Mus musculus: one gene and its partners. The protein of the gene in region 2 interacts with the protein of the main gene of each other region in a pairwise test. Links are inferred from orthologs where the notes say so. Each region holds a gene or a part of one and is shown on either strand. Other genes may lie near its edges.

What was found.
Region 1: the proteins of Ptk6 (region 2) and Fcho1 interact in binary tests that used the Homo sapiens proteins (3 or more experiments, as listed by UniProt). The two-hybrid records come from large-scale screens. The link is inferred for Mus musculus from reciprocal best matches to the Homo sapiens genes PTK6 and FCHO1.
Region 3: the proteins of Ptk6 (region 2) and Exoc5 interact in binary tests that used the Homo sapiens proteins (3 or more experiments, as listed by UniProt). The two-hybrid records come from large-scale screens. The link is inferred for Mus musculus from reciprocal best matches to the Homo sapiens genes PTK6 and EXOC5.

Annotation. Positions count from the first base shown.
Region 1 is NC_000074.6:71,722,853-71,727,267, forward strand, and holds the start of Fcho1 (F-BAR domain only protein 1), read right to left. Parts: upstream 2,830-4,415; 5' UTR 2,781-2,829; intron 493-2,780; exon of another isoform or gene 383-492; intron 1-382. UniProt on the Homo sapiens protein: Functions in an early step of clathrin-mediated endocytosis. Has both a membrane binding/bending activity and the ability to recruit proteins essential to the formation of functional clathrin-coated pits.
Region 2 is NC_000068.7:181,194,515-181,197,248, forward strand, and holds the end of Ptk6 (protein-tyrosine kinase 6), read right to left. Parts: intron 2,613-2,734; coding exon 2,431-2,612; intron 1,941-2,430; coding exon 1,787-1,940; intron 1,443-1,786; coding exon 1,255-1,442; 3' UTR 610-1,254; downstream 1-609. UniProt on the Homo sapiens protein: Non-receptor tyrosine-protein kinase implicated in the regulation of a variety of signaling pathways that control the differentiation and maintenance of normal epithelia, as well as tumor growth.
Region 3 is NC_000080.6:49,018,117-49,021,767, forward strand, and holds part of Exoc5 (exocyst complex component 5), read right to left. Parts: intron 3,309-3,651; exon of another isoform or gene 3,167-3,308; intron 1,452-3,166; coding exon of another isoform or gene 1,407-1,451; coding exon 1,286-1,406; intron 1-1,285. UniProt on the Homo sapiens protein: Component of the exocyst complex involved in the docking of exocytic vesicles with fusion sites on the plasma membrane.

The DNA of each region.
Region 1 (4,415 bases), on a different chromosome or scaffold from region 2:
ACAGTTGTCTTCGTCATCTTGGGCAACAGTCTCCCGGAAGCCATCAATGTCCCCAGAGCTCATGTTAGACAGCACCCTGCTTCCCGCCACCCTAACATAAAAGCCACTCTTAGGGGGCATACTTCATGCTGTTCCCTACCCCACCTGGCTAGATACCAGCTATCAGGGCCATGACCACCCATCTGGCTCTACCCAGCAGCCCTTGATGGGCCACAACCTGCACCCAGATCAGGGCCTCCCGCCTGAAGAGTAGGGCCAAGGATAGGCCCAGAGGCTGCCACCTGGCCAGGAAGTGACAGACCGACCGTTGGCCCCAGACCCGGAGCCACGGCTGTGGGATAACTTCCTGCTCTGAGGAGACAAAGATTGGGGTCAAACTCACCGATGGGCACTGAGAGTTGGGGCCCCTGAAGGATGGGGTAGGCACCGGGAGGCTATGACCCCTGACACTTCCGCCAGCACTAACTGGAGGCCTCTGTGTCTGGGGGAGGACAGGAAGCCTGGCCCGCCCTGCCTGCCACCCAACCGTCACCTCCCCGCCCAGCATCCCTGGGACCTCCCCATAGTCACAGGGCAGCCACACAAATGGGGGAGGTGAGGGAGCAGACTGGAGGCGACATGATCATTACCAGAGAGACAGACAGCCACAAGTGTCTACCTTGGCCTGCGCTAGGTCAGTATGCCCATGAGTGGAAACCGAGGCTTGAAGACAGGTGAAGCCTCACCCTCAGAAAGGGAAACTCAAATATTCTTACAATTACTTTAGGATCAACAGATTAAAGTTTGTTTTTAGAAATGGTCTCAAGTAGCTGAGGCTGGCCTCAAAATTCACTATGTAGCAGAGGATGGCCTCACATTTTTGATCCTCCTGTCTCCTCCTCTGGGTGCTAGGGTGATGGTGTGGTGTAAATATTAAGTACTACAAGGCGTCTCTCAGCCCCTTGTTCTTGGGGTTTCGTTTTGTGTTTTTAAACCGTGTGATTTGGAAAGAAGTTAAAACACCAATAGAGGCCTCTGAAAATGTTTTAGCCTAAGACAGTTTACCTAATGTAACCTGGGGCTTTCTGGGCTCTACAATACTAGAATAAGGTCCAGGGACAGACACTGCTCAGAGGCACAGAGCAAGCACCCCATCTCCTGACACCGAGTCCCCAAAACCTGAGGCTTAGGTGGGTGAACAGCACCAGGGAACTGAGCCAGGCAAGACTAGACCAGAGCTGCACTCTGGGGGTTGGATACAGGCTGGCTGTGCCCACAGCCATTGATCCCTAGTGTGACCCTCACTGCCTCCCCTCCCACACCAGCCAGAAATCTACAGGGAAACTGAGGCCACTGTGCAAGCCTTCCACTGAGTCATTTCATTTGTCACACATACTTTGAGCACCACTGTGTACCCAAGTCCTTGGGGTGCTAGTGACACTGGTCACACCCTTCAAAGACATCTCACTGCCTCCTTGGCTGTGACCCCATTTAATGAATGCAATATCATAATTACTATCATAGGAGTGGGTGTTTACGGCGCGCTGTCACTCCCACAACCACCTCTGATCTTCCTACAGACTTTCAGTCCACTTCACAGAAGGCTCAGTTTAAGTCCAGTCTGGGCACACAAATTTGGGGGTGTCAGGCTTCCTGCCTGGGACTCACCCTACTATCCTGCAAGAGGCAGGGACTAAGACCTGACCTTCCACTTGGGACCCCGCCCAGGAACCAGCCTAGGAACCCTATTGTAGGTGATGGTATGTGGGTCAGGGTGTGACCTGGGCAGCCACATGGGTGGGACCACAGTGACAAAGTCTGGGTCTTGATTGGAGGCCCGTCCATCTTATGGTCAGATAGAAACTGTCCTCTGCTGGCCTTAGGTCTCGCTGCTCCGCCCCAGGCTAGACTGTATCCATCAATCAAAATCATGGTTTGTTTTGTTTATGCTTTTTTAATGAGGCAGAGTCTGTGAATGTAGCCCAGGCTGGCCTCAAGCTGCAGATCTTCCAGCCTCAGCCACCAGAGGATTGTAATGACCACACCAGGCTCAACCCCTTTTAAAGTGCCAAAACCAGAGTGCCCTAACATTTGACTAAAGATTGTGGTCCCCATCTGGAGAAAATGGGGCACAGGTGTTGGGAATTTGAGACAGATAGTCTGGCTTCCTCAACCTCTATATTCTGAGGAGGAGACTAAGGATCAGGGAGGTGCTGTCACCTGCCCAAGGTCACCATGAAGCAGGTCCTGCGACGCTGAGGGCAAGTGGAGGGGCGGCCATCCCCGACCTTCTCTGCACCCCATCCTCATTCACCTAGACTAATTCTGTCCCTTGGAGCAGATGCCGGCTGCCCCCCTAACAGGGCGCGGGAGTCCCTGGTGCAGGCTCCAGGCCTCTCCAGGCCCCGTTCCCCCGGGAGGGGATCCCGCGCTCCATACTCCAGATACCCCGCAATTCCACCACACTCGCCCTACAGAACCCCCACCAGCCTACCAACCCTAGAGCGGGTGCAAAGGAAAGGAGGAGACCCTCGTTCCCAGGCGAGGAAGAGGGGCAGCGAGGGAGGCGGCCCCCAGCTTAGGGCCAGGCTAGAGACCCGGAAGAGGGATTGGGGGTCCTGGGGGGGGTCTCAGCCTCCCAGCCCAGGATTGAGAGATGCCATAGAGTGGCGCCCCGCCTTCTGCAGACGGCACCTGCGCTCGGGCCGGGTCAGGATGGAGGCTGCGTCCCCGCCCCGCACCCCGCCCCCGCGTCCTGCACCCCGCACCCCGCACCGGAGCCCCGCGCCGGGGACACTCACCGCCTCTCGCGGCGCTACCTGCGCGCTCCAGACCCGCGCCCCGCCCTCCCCGCGCGCTGCGGAGCGCGCTGCTGGCCCCGCCATGGGTGTGGTCAGGAGGAGCTCCGCCCCGCGGTGCTTCATAAACCCTGCACTGGTTGGCTGAGCCTGGAAATTCATCCGCAGGCTATTTGCATATTTTAAAGTGACAGGAGAAGCTCCTTGATCTCTGCACCTGTCAAGTCTCTCGGGAGACTGGGAGGGAAAGAGGGGATAGCTTTTATTAAGTACCTACTGCATACATGGCTCTTTGGAGAACCCCTCCGAGGCTGTGAATTAGGTGACATTTAATATTGAGCCTCATTTTACAAACAAAGGAATCAAGGAACATGGCTAGGAGTTGCTTTGGAGGTCATATAGCAACTCTGGTCTATCCATTCATGTGACATGCCATTTATTTATTCAGGCTGTGTGCTGGTGATGAAGCCAGGCTGCCCCAGCATTAAGCAAGAGCCACATGTCCACTCCACTCCCATATGACAACTTCGAGAGACTTAACTCCCCGGCCTGGGCTCCGTTTCTTGTTCAGGGTCACATGGCAGCATGATGATCCTCAGGACTACTGAGCCATCTCTCTCCCTGCCCCAGAAGCACCTCCAAGGAAGTGGGACCACTGGCCTGGGCACAACCAGAAAGCTAAGTGCCCTTCATCTCCAGTACATGCCCCTGCAGCCTTGGACCCCAGACACCTCAGTTTGGGCATTTTCCTGTGGTGGGAATCAAATCCAGGTCCATCCCAGACTGAGGCTGCCCCACTTCTTACTTGAACCATCTACTGCAGCTCTGCCCCAAATGATGCCGGGTTCTGATGGCAACCATACATAGCTAAATACTAGCTTCAGGGCCGGTGAGATGGCTCAGTGGGCAAAGATGCTTGTAGCAAAGCCTGGATTTTTTGAGAGAGTCCTGAAAAGTATCCTCTAACCTGTGGCATGTGCACACTACCAATGAATCAATTAATCAATTTATGCATCAATTCAAACAATAAAGATTAAACATTTAGATAGGCCCCACACCCAGCTGACTGGTGACCATCTGCCACAATTGGTAAGATAGCCCGCTCTCCATTCTCCATGCTGTTCACATTTTTCACATGTCCTTTTGTTGGCCCAAGAGCCCTCGAGTCACCTTTGGGTTCTGGGATTTGAGAATGGTAAGAAAAGCATCTCTCTCTCTCTCTCTCTCTCCCTCCCTCCCTCCCTCCCTCCCTTCCTTCCTCCCTCTCTCTCCTCCCCATATGTGTGTGGATGTGTGCATGCATGCCATTGCTGTGTCCAGAGCTGGAGTAGGGTGGGTTCCAGGGGCTGAAGCAAAGCCATCAGAGTCGGATGGAACAGGTTTTGACCTGTGATCACTGTCACCTGTCATTGACTGGTTCTAGGCAGGTGCTGGTCTAGAACTCAAGACTTCCCAGGCCCTTTCAGGGGTGTGCACCCCCATAGCAGCCCTCATTCTCGACATGACTCAGTCGTATCTCCGTGATGAGGACACAGGAAATGGGAGAAAGTTTCCCCGAATGTGGACTATCAGGAGGAAAAGTGTGATTGTAATTGTGTGTGTGTGTGTACCATTTATACACATATCTCAACTGGTGAC
Region 2 (2,734 bases):
ACATAAGGAGATGAAATGGAGAACAGATAGCCTGTCTAGCCTTTATGGGTCAAGTATGGGTTCAAAAGCACTGAAGACACATGAGGGAGAGCAGCCTTGGACCAGAGCCATCTTGGAAAACTCGGGTCCAAATGGGAATCAGAGGATGGCACAGGATATAAGGGTATCCTGCCTCAGGAACCCAGGGCAAAAGCATCTCTGAAGGGAAAGGACACGGAGCTCTGAAAGTAAACACCAGACTCACAAGCTCAGACCGAGTTTGACTTTAGAAACAAGTGCAGAGCCTCGGGCAGAGATGCAGAAGAGCTGCCTCTGCCCACATGGTTAAGAATCCTGGCTCTGCCAGGCAACAACAGTAGCACATGCCTTTAATCCCAGCACTTGGGAAGCAGAGGCAGGTGGATCTCTGTGAATTTAATGCCATCCCGGTCTACAGAATGACTTCCTGGACAGCCAGAGCTACATAGAGAAAACCTGTCTTGGAAAAAGCAAACAAGAAAATCTCCTGGCTCTTACTGACTCCATCGTCTTCCCTCTGCTTCTGCGGACCCCAGGTGATTGGGTATCTCAAGCACTCACTCCCCACTGGGCACCGGAAACCACAAAGCAGAAATTTCATATCCATTTATCTCTGTCTTCAACTTTCTAGGTGAGGATCCTCCAACAAAACCAAGGTTATAAAGAGAAAATCATGTAAACTTGTTCTGGGTTGTATGTGGCATAAGATCCTGCAGAATTAAGGTGCTAAAGGGTAGGGTATGTGTTTGTGGACAGTCAAGCTCCAAAAGTGGTATGAAAAGAACTCCACAAGGCCTGTTGCCTAGACTCTTCTTGGCTTCTCTGTCACATGAAGTCTTCACAGGAGAAGGGAGGAAGAAGCCAGAGAGTGACTTTCTGGATTTTGTGTATTGCCTCCTGGAGGAGGGAAAGGAAGCCGGGTTGCGCACGCCTTTGATCCCAGCACTTGGGAGGCAGAGGCAGGCAGATTTCTGAGTTTGAGGCCAGCCTCCTCTACAAAGTGAGTTCCAGGAGAGCCAGGGCTATACAGAGAAACCCTGTCTCGAAACCCCCCCCCCCCAAAAAAGGGAAAGGAGCCTCTTTACTCTTTCCTTGACAAAACGCAGTATTTGAGGTATGTTTGGTATGTTTCCTATCCCTTCATCTCAGTAAACTGAAGGATGGTTCATGCCTTCAATAGAAGTCCAGGATAATCACGAGGCCCTCTTCTGTGGGTCCTGGCCACGTCCAAGGAGCTCAGACCAGGTTCTCATACCTGGTGATACCTGTGAGTTTCTCACACAGGTCTTTGAAGCAAGGTCTCTGCTTGGGGTCTCTGCTCCAGCAGCTGAGCATCAGCTTGTGTATGTTGGGTGGGCACTCCAGAGGGCAGGGCATGCGGTAGCCGGCATCCACCCTCAGGAAGGTTTCATGATTGGACATGCCTGTGGCCCATGGGAGAAGAGAAATGAGAGCTAGGAGACTGATCCCTGGAAGCCACACCCAGCTTCCTTTGGCTCCTCCCTGAATGCTGACCCCTGCTAGAATGACCACCATCATGCCCTGGACATGTTGTAGCACACTGTCCATGGATGTTCCCTTCCCTGTGGATGGTGTCTCCCAGAAATGATCCCAAAAGCATGCTCCCAGATGCTCGAGGAATGAAACAGGGGTGGGGTCTGGTTGAGGCCCTGGGAAACACCTCCTGTCATCTCTGTCACCCATTCAAGACCTGCCCTGACTCTAGCTCACTATTTGTCCACCCCTGGAGACATTCTTGGGGCAATACCTGGGTAGGGCATCTGCCCCCTGCTGAAAATTTCATGAAGAAGAACTCCAAAAGACCAGACATCAGACTTGATGGAGTAATGCCCTCGGGAAAGTGCCTCAGGTGCTGTCCATTTGTAGGGGACATTGTGCTCATGGGAAAGGTAGATGTCCTCCTGTGGTAAGATGTCTTATGGTAGGACCTGACACTAGAGAGAGCTGCCACTTGTACCCTTCTTGTGTAGCACTGACAAGCATGGACTCCAAGGTCCTGGTGAGCAGGGACAACCACATTGCCTATTGCTGTCTGACCCACTAACACCACCCCACTGCTACCATGGGTAGCTACCACCAATGCTGCCAGAATCATGGCTAGGCCCAGTAAATATGCCAATTCACTAGAATTCTGGGTCAGGGAAAGACAAGAGCAGAGTTACAATGCATGAATACAGGAAAATCTCTAGGTACATGGCTATGTCTGTCTAGGTTCTCAAAGCTAGATCAGTAGGGTATGAACAAGGCTGTGGCTGTATAGATAAAGCCATCTTGCTTGCCTATTAACGCCACCCTATCAGGAACCCATCTTGCTTATGGCTAGGTTCAGCTCAAGGCTTGGGAGATAAAGCCCCACCTCCTGCTTCTGTCTCCTACCTCCAAGGGACCTACCTTGACAAGCCTGGCAAGCCCAAAGTCCCCCACTTTGCAGAGATTGTTCTCTGTAACAAGAACGTTCCTTGCAGCCAGGTCACGGTGGATGTAATTCTGAGATTCCAGGTAGCACATGCCCTCAGCAACCTGTGATGCAAAGTCCACCAGCTCCAAAATAGGCAGGGCTTTCTCATCAGAGTCTGTAGGGTGATCAAAGGCCAGAGTCAGCTGGCCAGAGACCAGTCCTCATTTACTGTGGCTACGAAGGCTACAGCAAAGAGCAGCTGGCTTGGCTTAATTGCAAAATGGGAAGGCCTAGACC
Region 3 (3,651 bases), on a different chromosome or scaffold from region 2:
AAAAAGTAAATTAATAAGAACTAGCTAGGCTTGGTGGCTCATGTCTGTAATACCCACCTGAGTTACACAGAAAAACAGTAAACTTCCTTTCAAAGTCTGATTTGGGAATCACAAATGATCTTTGAACTTGTTTCTGGTCTAGACATGGCATAATACTGTTTATAAAGTCTATCAAACTCATTTATCTCAACATTTCTTGCATAGATAACAGTGCTAAGAAAACAACTTCGTGAAATATGTTCATATGTATATAATTCTAATTTTCAAATGCCTTAAAAGTCCATATAAATTGATATGAAATATGATCCAAATCCTAGTGCTTTATCAAAATATGTTCATTCCTGTTTCCTGTAATCTTTACAAGTGTATCATGTCTACTGGTGTTCATGTGCATATATGTATTATAACATAATTACAATATTTGTCAATTCCCTTTCTTCCCTGAAAATCCTACATACCTCTCCTAGCCTCAGCCCTTATAAGAGAAGAGGGAGGAAAGAACTAACTAGCTTATGACGTGACTGTCTCAGACTTGCCAGTTTCTGAATAATGACGTACTTATTATTTATTAAAGCTTAGGCCTTAGCTGACTACCTCCTGATTTGCTTGCATAACTTAACCATTTAGTCTAGTCCATGTTTACAATGTGGTCCATTACCTTTCACTCAGTTCCAATACATCTGACTTCATCTGTGTCTGGCTGGCCAATCTCCTGCCTATCTCCTTTCCCCAGAGGTCCTTCCTCTGCCTGAAACTGGCCTTTCCTCTCCTGCCTCAACTATAGGCCATCAGCTCTTTATTAAACAAATCAGAAGAATGCCTTATGCAGGTGCAGAAGGACAGAGACAAACAAGCAAACATAAAACCGCTGTGTGAGATTGCATCTTAGTTATCCAAGCTGACTTTGAAATCATTATGTTGACTAGACTGCCTCAAACATGAGATCCTCCTGCCTCAGCCTCCTGAGTAGATAAGACTACATATACCACCCTGCCTGTTATCTGCTTTGCCTTCCAAAGGATGCAAACAGCTGAACTGCTCTAAGCTGGAAGGCCCTTTCCACATTAGATTTCAGATTTTGGTTCATGATAGTTAAAACTTTTCAAATATATCAAAATTAACAGCACAGTGAAAAGAGAAAACAAGAATTCAAGAAAGAAAGAAAAGATTTTTATTTCAAACCTCCTGTCCTATTTGATGCTTATATGAAGATGTATTATTTAAAAATAGTAATAAAAATATAGTAGTCATTAAATACCAATGAAAATATGACAATGCAACTAACCTTATTAGTGGCATTAGGTGATCATTAAACTGTTTGTCAAAAAGATGAAAAATAGTATTGGCCTGTTGTACAACATCCAAAAAGTAGAGATTTGCATTCCTAGAATCTGATGATGGGATTCCTAAAATCGGAAGGCATAGGTAAGTGGGAACAACCTTTAAAAAAACTGAGCAAAAGAAAAAAAATATTTATATATACCACATGAATAAAATTAACTGTCATGTAACAAATCAGCAACAATTCTATAGATTAAACAGCTTAATGAGATTTATCCAAAGCTATTTTTATACCCCAAAGTTAATCATCTTCATGATTTGTTTAGATAAAATGGAAAATGAATCAATTAACAACGTGCCTGGGCTCTGCCTTCTCCTTCTGTCCCCAAACCTCCTACCACAACTACACACTGTGCTCATCATGTTCTCCACCCCGTCCTCAGAACTATTCAGACCCTCATCACCCAGAGGCGTGTTTCCACAACATCTCCTAATGCTCTGTGCTTGTCAACAACATTCTGACACCAAAAGATGGAGCTGAAACCCGCTCTAGATCCACTTCCTCCTTTCATAAAGAGAAATACACGGACTCAAGGATCCTTCCTCTTTTTAGCTCGAGATGCCAGTGTTTCTATGTAAAATTAAGAGAAGTCTAAGAAAACCACCCACAGCTAATGATAATATATAACTTACTGCCTAGAGTTCTTACTACCTAGAGTAGCTTTACAAATGGAAAACAAAGATGTTTTGTACAAAAAATACAATTGTTGGTAGGAAAATTAAAGGTGCCAACACAAACATACAATTAAAAAAACTGAAGCACATGTAGAAAATACTAATCACCATAAAACATGGAAATTAAGGCAGTATTAGTGGATGTATTTAACTAATAATATGTGAAAAAAATGGAAAACTATGTACTAACATACATAAAAACCTATATATACATACAGGCTAGAAGCAATGTAAGTTGTACGGAATAAGCTCCTTAGGAAAAAAGTACATTAATGAAAATTATTTTAAAATATATATGCATAGTGTGCTTTGACTTGGGACTTTACCTAAAGACAATAATTTCAGTAAAAAGAAAGGTCTACAATGCTACTCCAGTATGTCTTATTACCTGGCAGAATTGTATGTGGTCATTAGGACAATGACCATGAACACTAACTGCATTGAACATGCTCATAGATATGAGAAATATTCCCTGTCCAAATGAAATTTTCCTAAACATTTCAAATACTGCTATTGAAATCAATAGGAAAGTTTCCATTCTAAATGAACAATAAATTCTTCATACCTTACTCCTTGTTATCTTGTAATTTCTAATGAACAAATTGATTTTAGTTATGTATGTGTGTTAGTCAGAGGACAACATTCAAGAGTCAGTTATCTCCTTCCACCATGGGATCTGGATACTGAACTCAAGTTGTCAGGCTTGGCAGCAAGTGCCTTTTACTGCTGAACCATTTTACTGGCCCTTATTCTTACTCATCATCTTATTCTGTAATCACATCTTAAAATATTTAAATTATTCTAATACAAATGACTACACTAAGTCATTTTCTACCAGCACAATTTAAATAATTAATGTCAACAGTCTACTCTAATTAAGTTAAAATTCACTAAAAGACATGGTTGCTTATGAAGGGTAATAGAGTTAAGTTAGTGACTGGTCTATAGCTAAGTCTGGTTCATTATTAAAGGTTTCTAGGCTGGTATTTTACACAGCCAATAGAAACTTTCTGAACTGTATATGCTTTCTACAGGCTAGAGTATAATGCTGGAGGGTAGGAGGGACTAAACAACTGAGATTCCTATATATTCCTAATATGCTGTTGTCTCTACTTAGATTATTCTTACTCCAAATATTCAGTTTACTCACCACTTTATTGAGTTCTCTGGTTCATGTGTCTTCTCAGAAGCCTTCTCTGACTACCCTTTCATAAAAAGCTTTTGGGAGGCTGGCGAGATGGCTCAGTGGGTAAAGGTGCCTGCTGCCAAGCCTGACCACCTGAGTTCGATCCCTGGAACAAACATGGTGGAAAAAGAGAACCAACTCCTGCAAGTTGTCCTCTGACCTCTACATGCGTGAACACACACAAAATAAATGATAAATAAGGAAAAAGAAAAAAATTCTGTCTGTAAATCCTTTACCCTGCCTCCCCGTTAGTATTTTCTATCCTTTATCTAGTTTTGTTTTCCTTTATTATATACTTCCTAATCATTTGTCTATCATTTTTATGAGAACACGAATCCCATAACTAACCATCTAACAAGTATGTGCTAAATGAGTAAGTTCTGAGAAGAGACAGACATTAACAAATCAAATTCAACTCTGGGACAATGGAGAACTATGCCGCCTAAGGA